Linked DNA regions of Rhinolophus ferrumequinum. Each later gene encodes a partner of the first gene's protein in a complex. Links are inferred from orthologs where the notes say so. Each region holds a gene or a part of one and is shown on either strand. Other genes may lie near its edges. The genes, in order: DRC1 and EFCAB2.

Region 1 (10,592 bases):
AATATGTAAAAAATGCAACATCTTTTCCGCCTTCACAAAACTGATTTTGTAACTTCTATTTCCCTTAGAGGCTACCTCAGTCTTCATTTCCACCTTATTTTCCCTGGATGGGCATACCGGAAGCAGGGAGGAGGGCAAAGGTTGCTGAGAAAGACATGAAGGACCTTGATGGCGGAAAAACCAGGAGGTAGGTTTTCAACCACCATGGTGCCACCTTCCCGAACCGCAGAGTATTTTGGGGAACCTGGAAGGCCACATTTCCACACATCATGGTGTCTGGAGACACTTCTCATTAGATTTTTGAAAACTGTGAGTCCTACCTTTATTCCACACACGCAAATCAATTCAGGATAGATTACAGACCAAAATGTAAATAGTAGAACAGTTTTATTCTTCCAGTAAAAGAAAATACGGAAGAATAGCCTCATCAACTTGGAGTAGATGAAGATTAAACAAAAAACAAAAAGAATTATCCTTAAAAATGATTAATAAGGTACAATGCCAAGGACAGGAGCCCCTCCTGCCCAGGTCTTAGGGCAGAACTGGTTTTTAATGCCTTGATATTGTGGAAGGTAACATTTTTTGGTATACATTTCTCCTTGATGACAATGCATTTCATGACTTAAGTCCTAAGTGAAAGGAACCTTGAAAAGTTGCTAATGAAAACAATATCATCCTTTTGGTTTTATACTCAATTAAAGCATTCTCAGGATGAACTGTATATCAGCATTTTCAAGATTATATCAATATAAACTATAACAGTATTTTCAAGATTACGTATAATATCCTTTTGATCCTACACAGAAATGCTCAGAGATCACTGACCCTTTAGATGGAGAAACCCAGGTACAAAGAGGTGACATGACTCATGTACTTCCCAGTAAGCAACAGGTCTGGACTGAGAACCCACCACAGCTCAATATTCTTTCCACTACAGTAAAATATCTCATCCTGGACTCGGTACAGTACAGGTTATTCTCCATGTGTCTCTATGCTCTGTAATAATATTTCAGTAGCTTGAATATTTTTTCTCCCAGTTAAGTACATTTCAATTTCTGCCAGAAATGATCTCTCTCCTCTCCACTTTTATAAATCCCACCTATTTTTCTAAGACCTGGCTCAAATCCCACTTTCTCCATATGACCTTCCCTGACCAAACCAGCTTAGTTAGCAATTTTGCGTATCTCAATTCCTACAGTACCACTGTCTATGCAGTTCACTTCACAATTAATTCAATGCGGCACTTTGCCAGGTCTGGCTTGCTATTTTGAACTGGTGTTTTTATCCCTCCAGCACCTCTTGTTCCAAGTCCTTTATTAAATATCCCAGGAGCCCTGTCATTGCCATGGGAGACAATCGATTTTCTTTTTCGTGTTTGTTAAGTTATGCACTACTCCACAGGCACACAAACAGGCTCTCGCTCTCACAGAGCTTATAATTTCATTGGGGACATCGTGTGCACACACATTGGAAAAGTCATACAAGGCAGAAAATTATCCAAGATGAAATGAATTCCATAGACAAAAAGGGCTCAATGTGTGAATTAAAGTTCAGCCTGGGCTGCGGAGGAACTCATGGAAGGGTTGGAACTTAGATGGTCTTAAAGTGTGGGAAGGTAACCTGATGTCAGGAGAGAAGAAAGAGTAAAGGAGAGAAGGGAGGAAAAGGGGAGGAGAGGAGCTTGGTATTCCAGATGGTCAAAGGAACAAAGCAGGAAGAAGCACGCCCCACTGGAGGTGAGTAACTGGATGGGCCTAGCCAAAGTGGAGGCCCAAATTCGGTGATAATGGGAGAAAAGATTGGAGAGTTCAAATGTAGACAGACTACAAAAGGCCTTGAATGTCAAGCTAAATCATTTGGACTTTATCCTGTGAATAAATACCATTAAAAGTGTGGGAGCAAAGAAGACACAGCATCACATAAGAAATTATACTATGAAAGCTCAGTCCTAGAGAGCTCCCCAAATGGGGAACGTTCAAACTCAGTTCTGCCAAGAGACAGAAATAGAATCTCTATTGAGACTTGATCTCTACTGAGTTTCTTCTAGTCTAAATACGAAAACCATGGCATCACACCCAGCTCTCTAGTCTCACAGGCCTGAGAGGACTCATTTGCTACCCAGTTCATACCAGTCTGCTTTCTTCTTTCTGTTTATAGCTCTTGCTTTGATCTTCCTCACTCTCTTTCTTTCCATCTAAATAGTCTCCAAGCGCTTCCCTGTGATGGAAAACAGTAGAGAAACTGAAGTTATTTTCAGTACTTAAAATCTATATTCAAAGTTTCCGTACTACTTCATACCACATACAAAAATATACTTCATATGGTTAACAATGTAAATATAAAAAAACACAATCATAAAACACTAGAAGTAAATACAGGAGAGAGCCCATCTCAGAATAAGACCAAAGTTTGAGAGAGAAAAAAGATTGAATGATTTTACTTCCTAAAATTTTTCGATTTTATTCTTGAAAGTCAAGGGAGAAACCAGTAAAAGATATTTGATGAAATTTTGCTCTCTATAAAATAGAAAGGGCTCCTTCAAATCAATACAAAAAAAGACAAAATACCAAATAGAAAAGGTGGCAAAGAGTGTGAACAGGCAATTTACAGAAGAAATACGAATGGCAAATAGACATTTGAAAATATGTTCAACTTCACCTATAACCAGAAAAATGAAAGTGAAAACCCTATAAGGCATCATTACCCTCCTATCAGACTGGAAAAGATTTAAAAAGTTGATAATAGTATTTACTCACACTCACGGGGCCGTGTTCATTCTCCTGATCTCTGTCAAAGTATAGTCTGAATAGATCCGGACCATCTGGATATCTCACAGAACATCACACTGATAAACCATATCAGGATTAGCAAACTATAGCCTGTGTGACAAATCTGACCCACCTGTTGTTGTATGGCTCACAAGCAAAGAATGATTTTTACATTTTTAAATGGTTAAAAAAATATGATCAGGATGAACAGGCAGAGCACAGAGGATTTTTAGGGCAGCAAAACCATTCTGTACAATACTTAACAGTGGATACATGTCAGTATATAGTTGTCAAAATCCATAGAATACCAAGAGTGAAACAACATGGACTTTGGGTGACAATGATGTGTCACTGAGGTTCATCAATTGTAACAAATGTACCACTCTGGTGGGGATGTTGATGGTGGGGAAGGTTATGCATTTGTGTGTGGGGGGGGGGGATAGGAGGTATATGGGAAACCTCTGCGCTTTCCACTCGATTTTGCTGTAAACCTACAACAGCTCTAAACACGAATTTTATTAATTTAGAGGAAAAAAGATCAAAATACAAAGAACATTTTGTGACATATAAACATTACGTGAAATTCACACGTCAGTGTCCATAAGTAAAGTTTGGTTGGAACACAGCCAGGCCACTTTGGGCCCCGTGTGTCCAATGGCCACAGATGAGAAGCCACCGTCTCGGTAGGGCAGCCGACCCTGACCAGCCGGACAAGGTGTAAGTGCTGTTACATAGCGAGGGCGTTCAGGAATTCAGGGGGTCACACAGGTGCCTCCTGGTACCCCTGAGGACAGCCAGTCCACTGTGACTGAATGGATGGCGCGGGACGCCCTGGCCTGAGAGGGGTAAGGTTCTCCATCTCAGACTCTTCACGAGCGAGGCTTTGTGTCACACAACCAGATAAGCCACTGAAACCAGAAATAATAGCTGAGGTCCACTGGGTAAATACTTGTGGAGGAAGGCAGGTTGGGAGGAAGGAGAGACATCTCCGAGGACAGGCCATGCATGGCCTGCATTTCAGTGTATTCGCCACAGTGCCTGGTGCAGCAGGCAGTCAACAAAAGTGCTGAAGGGATTATTATTTCCGCCTTTGACTTTACTAGTGTTAAATGTTTTAGTGTCTCCTACTTTGCTTGCACCTGTTTTCTCTCTCATTAAGAAACAAGGCCCGCTCACACTTGGGGCACTCCGGCCCCTCACCTCAGGGGCTCCAGCGCCGGTCAACGGCTCCCCTCAGCCCCGCACTACCTCCGGGGTTCCGGGGCTCCCGGGTCCCGCGGCCGGCCCGCCCACACCCCGCTCACCGCCTCCGGGCTTCCAGGCGCGCCGCTATGCGGAGACGCCGGGCCTGGATCCGCTCCTGAGGGTTATCAGAATGGACCGAGGGCCGGAGAATCGAAGCGGATAAATGCTCCTCCTCTGTCTCCTCCAGGTCCCCCAGGGGTCCGGGCGGATTCATAGCGGTGTCTCCCCAGGCAGCTCCGCGGGGACCGCCGCCAGACCGCCGCCGCGTTGCTAGCAACAAGCAGTTACTAGGGAAAAGCAGTCACCTGACCCGCGGCGGAAGTGAGTGTACGCGCAGTTCTTTAGGCCCCGCCCACCGGCATTCAGAACGTGGTGCCCCAGCTTTGGGCTTTATTGCTCTCTCCTGCAGTTGGGGTGCACGGTCCTGGGCCACCACGAAGGCCCGGTCATATTAGCGGAGACTGGAAGACTAAAGAGCTGGACCAAGTTGTGGTTCATTGCTTACAGATGATGAATTCATCGTTCATTCACTCATCAAACGAACATTCCTCAAAATCATGTTCATCAGATATTATTGAGCACCTCTGTGCCAAGCGCTGTGCTAAGGGTATGGGTGTTGACCTTTCCTCATGGATGGTACAGAATAGGTCTGCTCCGAGCCTACTGCCTCTTTGGAAAGTTTGAACTAAAGTATATCGCATCCATCTATTCATCATCCATTCATTTTTGAGGTCCTACTTTGTGCATGGAGCACCTCTCTCCGCTAGAACGTGAAACCCCCAGCTATCAATAAATTTTTACCCAGCAAGGGATTGTTGTCTCCTGTAGCCGTTTTCAGTAGGGCTAAAACCTAGGACAATTCTACCACCACTACCCTCAATCACATACTTACAGAAAGAAGAAAGGGGGAGCAGAGGGAAATAGTACCCAGAGGCGTGGGGGGCCGGGAGAAATAACAGGGTACAGAAGCACAATTAAACCCTCAAGGAAGCATTGTCCCTTGAAAAAGCCCTATTTCCTGGGTGTTTTTTTGTCTCGTTGTCAACAAAAATAGTATTCTTCTTGAGAGTTAAAGCCCTTTAAAAAAAAACAAACTGGATATTTGACAGGGTCTTGTTCCATTGACCTGTGGGAAACTGGGGAAAGGGCTCTGGAGTAGTGAGAAAATGCGGGTCCTAGTCCTAGACCTGCCCTGCAGCCTTGGATAAGTCCCAACCACGTGAGTACCATTTTTCCAACTGGCATATGGTACTACTCTCGGCCTACTCAACTCAGGCAATTGTGGGGCCAAAGAAGACAAGCGCTTTGTAAGACCTCCCCAGAGGCAAAGAGTTTTGGTGTTTTGGATTTTTTGCAAGTCTACAAGTGATAGATTTAGGAGTGCCAAAATTCTGGAGCAAGTGCCAAAATCTTGGAACAGCCAAGAGTTCCAACAGCTGCCCAAATCCTTGTCCCACATCTTGGGGTGAGCAGTGGGGGTAGTAGTATGTTTGCTTTGGGGTTTTAGGGATCCGTCAAATCTCTCTCCCCTTTAGTTGTAACCTCAAGTATTAAACTTCCCTAGGGGCCATGGAATCAGAGGTAGTGCTCTGACCAGGAAGCCTACTGGTCCTGGCCCACGTTTGCACCACCTTGAGAAGAGAAACAAATCCAAGTGTGTGTGCACGACTACGGCTGGGAGTTGGCTGCCATGAGAAAGTCAGTGGGAATCAGCAGTTACATGGGACACGTACCATAAAAAGCGATGGAGAGTGATCAATAAGATACTTGGCCATCAAGGTATCCCCGATACCATCACTCCAGACAGATAAGGAATCTGACTCCCTTTTTTGCTGTTTGATTTCTGACAGCCTTTAAGCTTCACAGCTTTTTTTCCCTCTGCTCCACATCTGGGCAGCTGACTTTAAAAAACAAACAAACAAAGCCTGGGTGCTCTCTCCTTTGGCCCTGGCTGGCGGGAGGTTCCAACAGTGTGCATCCATCCCCACCCCTTAACCACAATAAAAGCCCTGAGCCAGGCTCCTTTCCTGGCTCTCTCCAGCCATCTTCCAACCAACTGGGAGATCTTCCTTGTGGTCAGACAGCCCTGATTACGTAATAAATCTCTTTAAAGACACTCATTCACTGCTGGTAGGTACCTTTTAGGACAGTTTGCCAATACCTCTCACTAAGTATATGCATGGACTAAGCAATTCTACTTAAAAGAATTATCCTGGGGATAATGGGTCTAGGCTACAGCTCCATTGGGTTAAAATTACGTCAATTTTATTCAGCACTGTTACATACAGCACCTAGCACAATAGCTGGTATGTACATGAGTGCTCAACAAATATTTTTCTAATGAAACGTACAATTTATTTGTATGCTCACTGCAGTTATCTGTAATATTATGGATGTAACCCAAAATCCATCAATAGGGGAACTAATTAAGCATTCATGGGATGAGAAACAATGTAGCCACTATAAATCTAACCTAGAAAGACATCCAAAATATATTACAGAGGAAGAGATTAGGCAGCACAATATGTAGAGGATGATCCCAATTTTATTTAAAATATATGTAGTATGTACACAAGAAAAATGAGGGAAAAACACAAAGTAGTTGATATCTCTGGGGGTTAGGTCTATGGATGATTTTTAATTCTCTAAAAAAATTTACAAAGAACACAAATCATTTTTCATGTAACAAAAAATAAAGTTTATTTTTTCATTTAATTTTTTTTTTTTTTTAAAGAGTGGTAACAGGAGATCCTGAAGAGACTGTAGTGAGCAAGAGTAGGGCTCACAGATGAGAGGTTTTTGGGGGAGGGACATAGGAGAATTCACTGGCCCCTGGAGTCTGGTCCTCAACTGGTAGCCCATATTCCAAAAGCAGACTTGCTTTTGAGAACTGACTTACACTAATAAGCTCAAAAAAGAAAAACATATAGAGAATACACTAATCTGAGCAAAAAAACTACAACTGACACACAGGGCATGTGTGTGTTTTATGACTGGTGACCAGCACATCTACGTGTCTGACCTACAAAGGGAATCAAACTATAACTGGGAAGTTTCTTGATGATATACAATGGACTCAGGAGCCCACGATGGGAACAACTTGCCACAAAGACTGAACAGGTCAAGTCCTTGGGGCATGGCACCCTCATCCCTGGGGAAGTTTTGGGTGACAAAAGCAAAACCTGGATATATGGGCTTCCTTTGCTATGCTACAGGCTGGTCATTCACTTCAGCTTAGTCTTCTTCCCGAAAAAGAATTATGTTGGTTAAATTTTGGCATACTAAGTCACACACGTCTTAATTCTACATCCATAAGGTCACACCGAATCACCTTAATTGGGATTTGGGGATTCATCAAACATTTACATAATTTCTTGGTTTACCCCTATCTCCCATTTGATATGAATTATACTAATAGATTCTCAGAAGGCAATCTTGTTTTCTTCATTTCTAGTTATTTTTAGAACTGTCTCATCATCATCTTTATGTATTGCCTACAAAAGGTATGAAAGGAGGAAGGGAAGTCATGAGTAGGTCATATGGCTTAGGGAAAACATCAAAGGTAAAAAACTTGAGAACTAGGTATTAGTAGAAATCAAGCACCTCCCTGAGACCACTCAGTGCTAAACACACTACATGCATTATTCATAACACGTAACTGTGGTGATACTAATCCCATTTTACAGATGAAGAAACTGAGGCTTAGAAAAAAATAAGTAACTTGCCCCGAGTCAAAGCTTGCAAAGTTGAACATAAGTTAAAAAAACAGTTGTTGGGGAGGCCGAATGGCTCAGTTGGTTGGAGCACAAGCTCTGAGCAGCAGGGTTGCCGGTTCGATGCCCACATGGGCCAGTGAGCTGCGCCCTCCACAACTAGATTGAAGACAATGAACTGCCACTGAGCTTCCAGAGGGATGGTCAGATGGCTCAGGTGGTTGGAGTGAAAGCTCTTAACAACAAGGTTGCTGGTTCAATTCCCGCATGGGATGGTGGGCTGCGCCCCCTGTACCTGGAGATTGAGGACTGGACTTGGAGCTGAGCTGCGCCCTCCACAGCTAGATTGAGGTCCGGTGACTTGGAGCTGATGGGCCTGGGAGAGGCGCACTGTTCCCCCATATTTCCCCAATAAAATTTATTTTTTAAAAAAAGTTGTATTAAAAGTTTGGGTGGCCTTGAGAAACTCAAAATGAAAACAAGAAGAAAAATGAAAGCAGTTAGGAAGTTTTCTTTCAGGAAATTTGTGATCAGAGGGAAAAGGATGAGAGCAGAAGAGGAACAAGACACGGTGGCAGCACCAGGTCCTTTAAAATTTAGATTGAAACCCAAGTGTGGTGACCTAGCACATACCTCTGGTGTGTCAGGTACTTGCTACACATTTGAAATGTGCAGATAGAAGGAAAGGTAACTGTGAGGGCAACCAAGAAGTTGGGAGGGCAGGGGATTAAGAGCACACAGCTGGATAATTAGCCTGGGTTCATATTGGGACATTTCTTCCTTCACCTTCTTCAAACCCATTACGATTTTTTTAAATGCCCATTGCCAGAACTGAAGAATAAATTCTGATGTAAAAAACAGGATGTAAAAAAATATTCTCCTCAAAAGCAATGCTAGAAAAACAAAGTTTTTATAAGAGCTTATCGTTCATATACTATAGTTTTGGGGTACTAAGTGTGGGTTATTAGGTTCTTGGAATTAGCCTGGAAAATTAACACCATACATTAACACTCTATGGGAAAATGTTTTGAGTATGAAACAACTACCTTACAAACTAATTTCAATGTGACCCAGGTATTATTATATATTGCCCAGTACCCATTTCTGGGGGAATCAAGAACAGTACATTATGAACAGTTGCTACTGCCAACTGCCTAGTAACTATGCTTTTTGAAACTAGTCACAGGATTATAGAACACCCAGGAGCAAACAAGGCTGATCTTTCTTAAAAAACAAAACAAAAAATCCTATTTAATGTTTTGCTCTAAAGACATCAATGATTCTTTGAGACAAGTGGCTGGACATTAATTTTCTCCCCAGAGCTCCCTCCCCTTTTGTACCTACCAAGGAAAAACAAAGAAGACAATCTGAAAACAACTGAAAGGATTTAAAAATTACTTACTCTTTACTTTTATTACAATAAATATTTATCAATAATAGAATTAAACAATTTTAAATTAAAACCTACTGCATTACTTTTGAGTTTCACAGCAGCAGAAATAAACATAAATACAGTTGAAAGGGCAAGGCTTCCAGAATCCAGTGGCAAGAAACAGTCAGGTCTTGATTATCTGGACCAACAATGGGGAACAGTAATTCTGATGATGCAAACACAATGGTGAAATGGCTGTACTCATTTGTACATCAAAGACTTGAGATGCAAAAACAATGATGAAATGCATGGCTGTACTCTAGCTGTACATCAAAGACTTTTCTAAGATATCACAACATTCCAGCTAAGGAATGTAAGCAAGTTGTGAAGCCCCACTTTTGCAAGAGCTAGATTCCTCCCCCATCAAGCTCAGGAGCAGAAGCGCTCCCAGAGCTGACTTCTGGCCAGGAGTGGGTCCCATCATCGTCTAGACCCAGAAGACTCAACCCTGGTGGGAGCAGCTATCTTTCTCAGAAGTGGTCTTCCTGGCTCCCATAATCCCTGGTGAAAGGGAAATGGAAAGTGATATATCTCAAGGGCCTTTCTTGAGGGCTGAGATGAACTGGAAGTAGGCAAGATTGTGGCTCCAAGTGGGGAAGAGGCTTCACGGTAATGGGCTACATGCAGATTAAGTCAACATGAGTAAAGTGTAATGAGGGCTTACCACTTCGCTGATAATCAAGAGCAGACCGCATATTTATATGAATATATCATACATATATATGCACAGAGAATATATGTGTACATATTAAATATGTATATACATATACCACACATAACCAGATAAAATAAAGGCTACATTATTTACCATGAACACAGCAAGTCCTAGGCAGACCAATTACTAACATGTTCAATTAAACCACTTGAATGGGAAAATAAGATGTGCTCCTCTTCATCTACTTCCCTAACACATTCTACTTACAGCAAACCGATTCCAGTTGCTTAAGTAGTATTGTTTCCAGGTACCTGAGAAGGGATGGAACCATCCTTTTGGTTCAGAATACTACAGAAAGCAAACTGCAACAGGACCAAGCTAAACAACTCAATAATTGATTCGGCCATGATTCCTGCCACCTATTCTTAGTTACAGGGCGAAACCTTACTCAGAAAAGTATCCAACTCTTTCTCTACAATTGGGTACAAATTTAATCTATTCTATTAGATGGGAGGAGAAGGGGAGAAGGCCACAGCAGGCAGTTCACACCTCGGCAATTATTCCCCGTTACCCAGAGGAAATGCTACTTAAAAAAAAATTTTTTTTTTTTTAATTTGGAGTTTAATACTAAATTCTGCTTTCTTGGCACATTTCAGAACGAGTAAATCAATACATGTAGTTGGGTCTTTGTCTCCTGAATGGCTGCTCTAATGGGGTAAGTCACCTAAACAAAATAACCTACAAATCGTGTTACTATTGTGAGCAGTCTTAATTAGCAG
Region 2 (11,447 bases), on another chromosome or scaffold:
TTCCTAACTAACATCTAAGCAAGAATAGAAATAAAATTCAGTATTCTAGGACCTGGCTCTCCCATCATGCTGTTCATTGTTAAAGTGACGATTCTTTTAAAAATACTTAATACAAAGGAAGACAGGGTCACAGTCTTTGGGGCACATTTTAAAGAGAAGGGAATTAAAAAGAAGATACAGATAAACATTCATTCTGTATAGGCATAGTTATTTAAAATCATTTGTGGGGGGGTTATGTCTGTGGGCATTCATTAAAACATAATTATTAAATTCTTAGTTATAGCTGTTTTTTTTTTTTTCCATGAAAAGCATTGTTGTACCATTAGGGCAAATACAATACATAGCTCTCGCCCTTCTGAGATCAGCTACAATTAGTACTAAATTTCTAGTTAATATTCTACTTAGTTAAAGCTCTATGAATTCAAAGGCCTTGAGAGATCTACTGAAGGCCCTGAAATAAAACACCCTAGTGAGTAGATTTAGTTAAGATGCGAGCACTTAATCCCTTGCTCCTTACAAACAGGACTAACCCCCCACTTACCTCCTGGAGAAAAGCACCCTTAGTCTAACCTGATGACACACCTCATGGTGTTCTGTTTAACAGATAATTGATCCCATAACGTAGATACAAACCACTGTTGGGTATGCTGTGGTTATGATAAAGGCATAGTATACACTATACATCATTTGAAGGAGAAAGTAGCTTTGGTGGGTGGGTTTTTCAGTTTTGTGGGTCAATAATTTCATAAACTTTGGAACCAAAAAAACCCCCAAGCCCCCAAAGCTGCTAGCTTAAAATTACCAGTTCTAAAAGTATCTTAGCAACTAGAGAACAGCTCTCAGCTGTCAGGTTTGTAGACGTCCTGTTGTACCAATAGACTGTCCATACAGACTTCATAAATATTCTCTGAATACTGAGTGAAAGGTCCTTCTCCAAGAATGGAGAGCGGGGCTAAAAAGAACAAGACCCCTCCCCCCCCATCACCTTCCAGAAGTTTGCACCTGCCTTCCTTTTATTACTTGGTGAGGAAGGATTGTGAATATGTAAGAAGAAACGAGAGGGAATAGAGAACTAGTTAAACCCTTCACCAGGTAACCAGTTTTCCCTTGGCTCTCCACTACCTGACCCTCATTCCCTGTGCATAAAGGACTCTCCCTCTCCATCCAAGCCTTCCTAAAAATAACTTCCTTTCTAACCTCTCTCTCCTGTCATCACTATTCACTCCAAATCTCACACTTCCTTTCCTTCTTGAAAATATAGCTGTAGCTGACCTGAAAAAAACAAAAAACAACAACAAAGTATAATGAAAATCAACCCAGCAAAACCTGTGAAGATTTTGATCTTCGTATGTTTGTGTTATTTGGCTTTGTGATGGCCTCTGTTGGGGGAGGGGTTACAGATCCCTGTTCTAGGGCAGTTACTGGGTAATGTGGAACTTTATTAATATCAAGGAGTTAGCTTTCAAGTCACATGAATATTTAGTCTCATCTGTTAGTCACAGGCATTTTATTCAGTGTACATGGACATGATCACAGGCCAGGCCTACAGAGTCAAGGTGAGGCATGGCACTGAGCTATTTCCCCCTCAATTCTAAAGCGGCAAAGGGTACTGGAATTGTCTGTAATGTAAAATAATATTACAAATTTACTTTTTAGTATCTGTTTGGTGATTATAGATTGCAATTAAAAAGTCCATCTGTAATATATCTGTAACTATGTATTTATCCCCATAGGCCATTTTTCTTTTGTCCTGTAAGAGCCACATGGACTGTCATTAATTTGTGTAAACTCTGCGAAGGAAAACTAATTATTGGTACAGTAGGGGAGAAGTAAGAGCCACATGTACCTGGCACACTCTCTTACCGTCTTAGACAGAGTCAAGAACTTTATGAATCAGGAACAACATCTGTAAACATTTTCTGAGTTCAGAATGTTTCTAACATCCTCATTTGTTAATTTTATTATCCTGTCTCTTTAGGTCATCAGTGAAACCCTTGAAATTTAAAAAATGCCCACATGGTTGTATTGAAGGGTAGCAAGGAGAGTGGAGCTAGAGGGATGCTCCAGCCCCCTTCAGAGTCTCCCTCCTCAGCCCCCTGAATGGACAAGGCCTCCTTTGAGAGACAGGAGAGCAGGCCGAAGCCTTGGGTCTTGATACAAGAAGAAAATGAAAAATGCAGAATAAGATTCTGAGGCAGAATCTCAGGAGAGACTTCGGGGCTCCGCAGGAGAAAAGCCACATTTCCTCACATAGAAGCACTTTGGGAATGTTAACTCTTCGGAGAGGAGATAGAAGCACTTTGGGAATGTTAACTCTTGGTTTCTTCATCTTTAATATGGGCATCGTATTAGTATCCTTCTTATAGGCTTATTTTGATGATTAAGTAAGGTGGTCCGTGTAAAATGCTTGGCATCGTTTCTAGAAAATAGTAACTGCTCCGACTAGTATCGCTATTGGTCCTAGAGCCCTAAGAGAGTCACATAGCCATAGGCCAAAGAAATTACATCAGGCCAGAAGCAACGAGGCAGCGAGAATTATAGGTTGCCTCTATATCCCAAATGGTCAATCTCCTTATCTCCATGTAACCTCCATGTAAACTCAGATGGGGAAACTGAGGTTACAAAGAAGAAATAACATATCCAAAGTCATAGCATAAATGAGCAAAGGACTGAGGTTGAATTCTGGGCCCATTTATCTCCTAAGACTATTTGCTTGATTCTTCTACACAGCATTATCTCCTAACATAAACATTAACATAAATGAAACTTAATTTCAAAAATTTCTTTTTGAAGCAGGAACTGAAAAATCATCCCAAAGCCAATTATCAGCATAATTCTATACTTTTTCTCTATTTTCCCACGTAAACAGGAAGAGGTGATGTGAGCAGCCATAAACATTTATTGACTCTCTGGGTCAGCTCCCAGCCTTTACCTTTCAAGTCTTATTGTCAATGAATAAAGAGCAGAGACTCACCAAAAGTTGCTTAGCAATGAGTGTCCCTGCAAAGTGCTCTCAGGACAGGAAATGTTTAAGTAATAATGAATTAAACAGTGGCTTGCTGTGGCGATGTGTGTTTTTAAAGGAATCAGAAAGAAACATGTGTTTTTGACAGAAATAGGGCCCAGAGTGTGATTTTTCCAAATGTTTTCAAGAGTTGTGGATTCATGTAAGATTTACTTGCAAGCTGCCCCCAGTGCTGCAGTTCCAGCTTCCTGCTCTGGGTCTCCCTGAAAAGCCTGAAGGAACTGTGGCACTGAAAATGCTCTTGTCCAGGGCCAAGAATTTAACACAACCTCCTCAACCCCATTGAGGCCTGAAATCTCCATGTGCAGGAAAGTGAGAAGGAAAGAGAAGGTAAGCAGACCACTGGATCACGGTGGACAAGTGAGTTTCACCTCCTCTCCTGCCATCCAGACGCCAGGTCTTTAACTGTCTGGTCAAACAAGGACAAAGGGCATGCCATCATCTGGTTCCCTTCAAGTCCCTAAGAGTCTCTGCCAGTTGTTTTAGTTGATGTTCTGAAGCAGTAAAAAAAAAAAATAATAGTAGGGGCGGAAGTTGACTAATTCTGCCCAGAATTTTTGTCCTTAACATTCTTCTTAAGATATTCAGTTTACGAAATAGCATAGAACAATGTTATCTTGAATTTATAAAGAAGCAGTATAGCACTAAACGGGGATACTAGTATCAGCCTTATAGGGATTAAAAGAGATAATGTATACAAAGTACTCTTTTGAGTTATTTTTATTTTTATAACTGTAATGAAACCCAACTGTTATTCTGTTGTATTCTGATAAGGTTTTCCTTTTGAGATCATAGGGTAAGGCTACTTGCACTCTGGGTAGGTGTCGAGAGTCTTCCTTGAGGGGCTGGGCATTCTTGATGTGAATTATCCAGGGAAGGGCTGTATCCTCAGTTAGGAAACGGGAATCAGACCAGAGAAGCAATTCCCTCCCTCTTATTTTGCTGGGTCTAGAGCTCAAGGATTCTAGATATGCTTAAGGTCACTCCTGCTTGGTAAGGTTTAAAAATGGCTAGATGGAAACCAGGAAGGGGCCACACACTGAAGATGGTGACCTCTATCATGTAAAATAGATCTTGTCACGTAGGCAGCAGAGGCCCGGAGTCAGACCACCTCCCACTGTGTAGCTGAAGCATTGGAAAAGCAAATTCTCCAAGTGGAATCTGAATCTCAGGAAAGAAGTTGGGCTTTGACCTTTAAGGGCTCTTTCCTACGTGGAAGTGGGGTTTTTTTCATTTAACGAGAGCAGATTTCCTTGCAGGTTCTTTTCAAAACTTCTGGTTATATCTATTGAGTGTCTTGAAAACATTAAGATAGGTAGTTTGGACATTGCTGCGACTCTTTCTGAGTTAACTAAGTTTTAGAGATTATATGACCTGACCTGCCTAGGGTCAGGAGGTCAGTTCTGGCAATGACGGAGGAAAATCCAGTTTTTGTTTTTTCAGCTTATTCCTGCCTAGTCCAAGGAGATTTCAATGATTGCCATATGAGGAAAGTAAATATGAAGATTTTTTTGACTATCATTTTGCATTATTCACACCATTACCCATTCCACTTCACCCATATCTTAGGTAACTGAATCAACTGTATTCAGAAGAAACAGAAGTTCCCGTGTCCCTCATGGGCACGGAACTAACACCTATAGAAAAAGATTTAACTCACAGTACATTCAAACATGCAAAAGGACAGAACTTTTTCATAGCCATCTGTCCCCATTGAATAATTGATCAAGTAAGTGTCACAGTCTAAAACTATGCTCTTGCTTTTCTGATTTAGTCCTAAGGTTATATATCCATGAATGGGAACAAAAATAATTTTTCCAATTCTGTATTTCTGACAAAATCACTGAGATTCTTAAGTGAAAGAATGCCTTAGCAGCATATAATATTACAAAGTTACTCAATCTATAGTTCGGAAACGAAATATATTCTAAGGAAAAGAAATGGTTGTAGTTTGCCATTGTCCTAAGTGAGCTAATTATATTTCAAAAAAGTTAAAATTGGAGGTCAAGTTTCCACAACCAAAGAAAAGTGGAAAGTTGAGTCAAATATCAGCATAATGCACATAATTACTCATTGGTATTGTGGGCCTTTATTGTGTTATTCGGTTATTTTCTCACTTCGTGGAAAGTTTTCCAGAATAATTACATACTTTTACGTCTAATTAATCAATTGAAAAGTATATATTAAGCTTCTAATATGTGCCCCAATTTAGGCTAGGGATTGTGGGTATATAAAAGGTGATTAGGCTCTTGTCTTCAAACCTAATTGGGGGGAGGGGTTAATTAACATCTATTAAATTTTTTTTTTTACTCAGTCAAACTTAGAGAAACAGTATTGTATTAAATATGCTGTGGGAATTCAGAGAAGTAGAGATTAATGTGGTTTGGAATAATCTAAATAATAAACTTTGCTTCTCAATCATTGACAAGACTAACTCCTGGTTTAATTTTTAAAATACATATTATTTCAGACACAAAAGTTGAAAAATTGTTCTAGGCATTGGGGATATATGGACAAATAAAGCGTTTGCTATCCTCAAGAGCTTAGTTTGGTAGAAGGAAACAAGCAAATAAACTGTTAAAAGAAGAATCAACAGGCCAAAATGGAGTCACTTTTGCTAAGCCATGTTACTGAAACTTAATAACTTAACTTAACTGCAGTTTCAGTCTTTCCCAGGTGTGAAACTTGAAAACAGTCTGGAATTTCCTGACCAACACCAGTTAGGTAATCTGCATGATTAGACACCCTGCCTTCCTCTAAGGGATGATGTCCTTGCCTGAAATAACCTACTCTTAACTTCCTAGTGCCACCTTCTTTCTGCCTATAAAACCTTCCATTTTGTACAATTCATTGGAGCTCCCTTCTTGTTGCTACCGGGGTTGCTGCCCAATTCATGAATCGCTTACTACAGTCAATTAGACCTTCAAATTTACTTGGTTGAATTTTGTATTTTAGCAAAACAAAGTCATCGACAATCAATGTGAGATGCTCTATGAGTACAGGATAGAGGAAGAGGTTGACAGGAAAAGCTTCCAAGGAGGTCAGTGACAACCAGGAGGGAACAAATGTGACTGTGGGAGGGTGAATGTTGGGGTAGGGAGAGAGAAGAGAAAGGCATTCCAGAAAAAGAGAAATGCAAAACAGCATAGGAGAAAAGGCACAGGAAATAGGTATAGGTAATAAACCTGAGACCAAAGTTGGTTTTCTACATTTATTTCAAAGCCCTTCATTATCTATATGGCCAGTGGGCCTCTTTAAACAAATAAGTAGACCATAATGACTATGACATTTACATATAAATGCTAATGATTACTTTCCATATTTTTGGGTGTGAAGAATTTACTGTACACAATTGTATTCATTTTTATAAATATCTATCTTTGAATATGAGCCATTTGTGATGATGCCATCGTTTATATTCAGTTTCAAAGAGAATGCTGATCACAGCACCACATGAATATCTTCTATAGAAAAAGTACTTACTTTAATAAAGAAAAATCGTAGTTTGCTTTAGGGTTTACTGAGAAATTATAGAACCAGAATTAATAAAAAGCATAAAAACAGTAAAATCATAGAATACCTTGTATTTTGAAGGCCTCTTACTGTTTTTACATAACATCAAGTCATTTACATTAGTACACATATGCACTTAAAAAAATCATCCAAGATTAGTTTTAAAAATACATATTCGTTTGACCCTCATTATTAGGCATATTATTCAAAAATCATCTTAAAAAGAAAATATTCTTGTATAGTGAACTTCTCGTTAAAATTTTAGAGACCAAAATTTAACATCATGTTCCAGTTGCAAGTTTCAGAAAAGCGGGCTGTAGGACTTTTCCATAGTAACTTTAACTAGAGGTCAAGTCCAATTTCACAACTAAGAACATCTTAACCTATTGTAGCAATAAGCACAACTCGGGCACGTTTTTTGTCGCTAGGAGAACCTATTCCGTATCAGAAATTGCAGCCTTGACGACGCAACCTATTTTGCACACGTTTTTCTCCAGCTATTTCTTTCTTCAAGTAATAACAGTCAAATGGCTCTGATTTCCTCTTGCACCCGGCCGAGTTTTGCGTTTAGCTCCAGTTCCCATAGGCGGTGCAGTCGCCGTCCCTGGGAGCCGGCGGCGAGCCATGCCTGGAGCGGAGCAAAGGCGGACGGCAAGAGCAGGGGCAGGTCGGCCTCTGCGCCGCAGCCAGCCGCTTCCCAGCGCGACGCGGGCGGTGGGTGGGAAGGGGGAGGAGGCGGGATTGCGGGGGGGTTCTGTCACCCCCTCGGGAGTCGGGCGCTTCACCCAGCTCTCCAGGTGCGTTTTAAAATCTGCAGTAAAAAAATCAAAAATAAAAATCGAGTAACGCCACGTCGTCCCAGGAGGGGTGGGCGATAGCTGTGTGTCTGATGTCCCCAAATGCATCAAAAATAAAGGAAAGGAGGCTTTCGGAACTTTATTAAATAACTCCTCTACGTCAGAGAAATCAGGGCTGAGGCTCCGCTTTTGCGGGGAAAGTGCTCCAGCCGGTGGAGCGGCGCGGGGGGCGGCGGGACCGGGCTCGGGTCTCGCAGGCGCGCGAGGGTCGCGGCGGGAAGTGGGGGAAGGGCGCGTGCTCGGAGTCGCCCCTTCCCCCGATTAAGGGTCTCCTTCCCTCCGGGTTCGAGCAGCGGTCCTCCAGGCCCGACTCGCCGCGGGGGCTGGAGGGGCAAGGACGCCGCGCCCTCGGTTAACGACCGTCGTCTCTCGGGCAACGGGTTCCGCACAAGATGGCGGACAATAAAGAAAGGGAACACTCAGGTAAGAGGCTGCCCTCGCCGCCCGCGGCGACCCGGGCCGCGCAGGGGAGCGCCGGGTGGGGCCGGGTGACCCTCCATCTGGAACTCCCACCGCAGGGCGCGGTGACTGCGGAGGGGGCCGCTCTCCCCGGCTCCCGCCGCCTCCCCGGCCCACGCCTCGGCCCCGCCCCGCCCCCGTCTCCTCCCCGCCCCGCCCCCCTCGGTCTCCTCCCCGCCCCGCCCGCCCAGTTCCTCCCGTCCCCCTTCTTCGTCCCTCCCTCGGGGGACCGAGCCACGGTTCCAGCCTGGGTTGCGGCCGAGGCACTGGCGGCGTAGGGCGATAATGGCGTCCTTGTTCACGGTCGCGGGGACCCCGCTTCCAAACCGTCGCCCCGGCTCTCCGGGCCGCAGGCGCCACGCCGGCAGCTTCCGGAGCTGTGGTCCCCGGGCCGTCCTGGGTGAGGACGGGCCTGGCCGCCGGGTCCTCTCCGGCCGCGCCGCAACCCCTCCCCCTCCCCAGGCGTTTGGCTCCCGCGGCCACCATTTTGCCTCCTCACCGGGGACATGGGAGGACGGCCTCGAGGTCACAGTTGTCCCCTCCGCGCCTCTAGGCTCCGAAATGCCTCTGCTCTACCGGCTGCGCCCACCCGTCTGGGGTTTTGTTTTAAAACACAAAACAAAACACGATGTTAATAAAGACGACAGAGCAATCGAGCGGGAACGCGCACTAGCTCCCGTGCGCCGACTCGGCCTTTGCCGCGGGCTCGCGGCCGCATCAGCCCGCCAACCCGGTCACGGGCGCGGCCAACGTGGAAGGACGGGGCTTCCAGGCTCCTGGTCACTAGATCGGAAGGATTGATGTGTTCTTTTGTGCGGAGAAGCGATTATCCACGTTTATTTGCAAGACCTTTGTTTTCACTGAACAGTATAATCCAATACTGGGTTACCATCCTCTTACTCGAAAATGTCTGTTTATGTTTGGGAATTGGCAGACTCATCGCAAAACCAACATCAAGCCATAACTGTAGAGGTGCACATCTTAGAAATGAAAGTAATTCATTCCACCTCTGTTTCCTTTTTTGAGAGATCTAAGCACACCCTATCAACATGCCTTTTTTCTCAGCATGGAACAAAGTGTTTCAGGTTAACAACTAATATTTACAAGTGAAGAAGCCAGTTCTGAGATAGTCAGTTGTCATGGTGATCACAGAAAATTCAGCGGGGAAGCACAAAAACTGCGAAGATCTGCCTATAGATAAGAGTCATACTATTTCATTTTTTCATGGTACCCTTAGTCTGAAAGGACAGAATTATTTTATATAGATGTCAACGTTCCTAAGATGTCCTTATAAGTTATCATACTGCATTAAGGTACATTCTAATAAAATTATTATTTGTACGGTTTTTTTTAAAACTCAGAAAACCAAATGACTTAGTTATTTTAATTAATTCTTACAAAAATGTAAACAATCATTAGGAGATAAGTTACTTGTGGATATTTGTGTTTTAGCAAAAGATTTGATTAGGTCAGCATGAGAAACAAAGCACTGGATTATGTTGCAAATACAATTTTTTTCTTTACTTTAAAAATAGATTGAGAGCTTTTCTGATTTTTCAGTTTTCAGAAATATTTTTGAAATACATTATTTAAAATAATTCAGAGGGAGAAACAATCTGTCTATAAGTATAGAAGAAGTAATGACTGTTAAAAGCTGTATGTCATTCATTCAGTTGGCATATTTAATGCCTATCATATGGAAGGCATTCTGATTAGGTTAGAACTTTGGAGGATATAAAGATGACAAAGCCCTCATCTTTTCTCCCTAGAAAGGTAAGATCTGTAGGGGAGATAAGATATCCACAATGGGAAGAACAGTTAATGGCGCTGAGAAGCCAGTATGCCAGATACTGTCCCAGGGGTGTTCTAGCTCCTGGTGTGTGGACAGTAGCCTGGGCATCACAGGGAGCTTATTAGAAAAGAAAAATGTCAGTTCTTGCTCCTGACCTATGAATCAGTCTTCATTTTAACAGATTTGGTGACTCATATACACATTAAAGTTTGAGAAGCACTGTTGTATGGTATATCTCATTTATTCTTAACAATTTTTTGAGTTAACTATAATTACATTTTGAAGGGCATGATGAAATAAAGGCACATGCTGTCTGAGGATAATCTTTGTATTGACATTGCACTCCTATATTTGATTCTCAGCTTTGAAGATTAGAAATTACATCTAGCCAATTAATCAGAATTGATCAGACTTTGGGGAGTCACTCAAGCTAACTAAACTCATGAAGAGTGATGTGCAATCCTGAATAATGATTTATTAACTTAAATAGTGTATGTTGACGTCTTGACCAGAAAGCTGATCTCTGCAATGTAAATATATAGTTTCACGGGTATTAAGGTTTTAAGGAGGGTGAATTTATATTTTAAAAAGTGCTTGATGATCATGGATTCACACAAAAGAAAGGATAATTTTGGAGGATATATCCATTACTCTATAAAGTTCAAGAGGGCGGGGACCATATACTCATTGTCTTGTACAGTGCTCAGCTCATGGTAGGAACTCAATATTTGTTGAATTTAGATCATTTGAATTAATTAAAGATGTTTATGTTTTAACCAAAGCATTGCTTGCTGTTTCCCCAAAATTTATTTTCTACCTAAAAGTAGATAAAACTGTTGTTAGGTTTTTTTTTCCTCTTCGTTATAGGTAGGCTTATTTCATCTGGCTCAACAATTTTTGAAAGCCAAAGTATTCACTAGCCTGTCTTTAAAAAACAACCACCACAAAATTATCTTTGTAGAAATATGCATATGTTTTAACTAGTTCATCTTTAATCGTGAGATATATTATTTAGTTGTTAAGGAGAACTAAGTTTCTGAGAGTAGCCATTATATCCAGCTCTTCCACATTTAGGGATTAATCTTGATATAAGTATTGAGAATGTTGGTTAAAAAAAGTTAACTAAATCTATGATGGGCTATTATGTTCTTTTTATAAAAATTTTCTGTAAGATTATGTACATTTGAAGTCTATGCTTATTTGTAGCTTTTTTGTGCTTTAATATAGTATAATTTATTTTTTCCTACATTAAGAAATCTTTGTTTAAATGGAGAATCAATGCAATAGTTGATTCTTTGGATCTTTAAATCTTATTTTATTGTGTCTGTCTCCTAGAGAATTTTATATAGGAGTGGAAGTATCTTCTGTTTGTAATTAGAATCATGCCTAGAAAACAAACTGCTTAGGAATAAAATTCTAAATAAATATAAGCCTGTAGAAGAGGGAGCCAAAAGGTAGCAAACCAAGTGGATCTGTAAAACCCTGGGAAGGCACAGGGTTGGAGGCAGCAGGCATCTCTGAAGGCATGTGTGTGGAGTGAGGGTAAATATAGGAGGTTTGGATAAAAGTCATAAAGCAGGTGGTTGAATCTTCCATTCCCTGGAGTAAGCAGGTGATCACTTCCCTTCTAGAAGACTGGAAGTTTACCCTCTGACGACCTTAAATCAGAGACTTAGAATTTAGGGATGCCTGGTACAGTTGATAGTAGAGAGTGACGTGCCCTAATTATTATCGTTACCAGCCTTATTGAGGTGATTATAAGTTACATAAATGTCTAATCACTATAATGTACACCTGAAAC

What was found.
Region 2: DRC1 (region 1) and EFCAB2 share a complex: the UniProt entries of both Homo sapiens proteins name them as parts of the nexin-dynein regulatory complex. The link is inferred for Rhinolophus ferrumequinum from reciprocal best matches to the Homo sapiens genes DRC1 and DRC8.

Annotation. Positions count from the first base shown.
Region 1 is NC_046296.1:54,079,726-54,090,317, forward strand, and holds the start of DRC1 (dynein regulatory complex protein 1), read right to left. Parts: upstream 4,316-10,592; 5' UTR 4,228-4,315; coding exon 4,073-4,227; intron 2,218-4,072; coding exon 2,130-2,217; intron 1-2,129. UniProt on the Homo sapiens protein: Component of the nexin-dynein regulatory complex (N-DRC) a key regulator of ciliary/flagellar motility which maintains the alignment and integrity of the distal axoneme and regulates microtubule sliding in motile axonemes.
Region 2 is NC_046310.1:16,397,342-16,408,788, reverse strand, and holds the start of EFCAB2 (dynein regulatory complex protein 8), read left to right. Parts: upstream 1-7,091; 5' UTR 7,092-7,205; exon of another isoform or gene 7,206-7,335; intron 7,336-7,688; 5' UTR 7,689-7,787; coding exon 7,788-7,818; intron 7,819-11,447. UniProt on the Homo sapiens protein: Component of the nexin-dynein regulatory complex (N-DRC), a key regulator of ciliary/flagellar motility which maintains the alignment and integrity of the distal axoneme and regulates microtubule sliding in motile axonemes.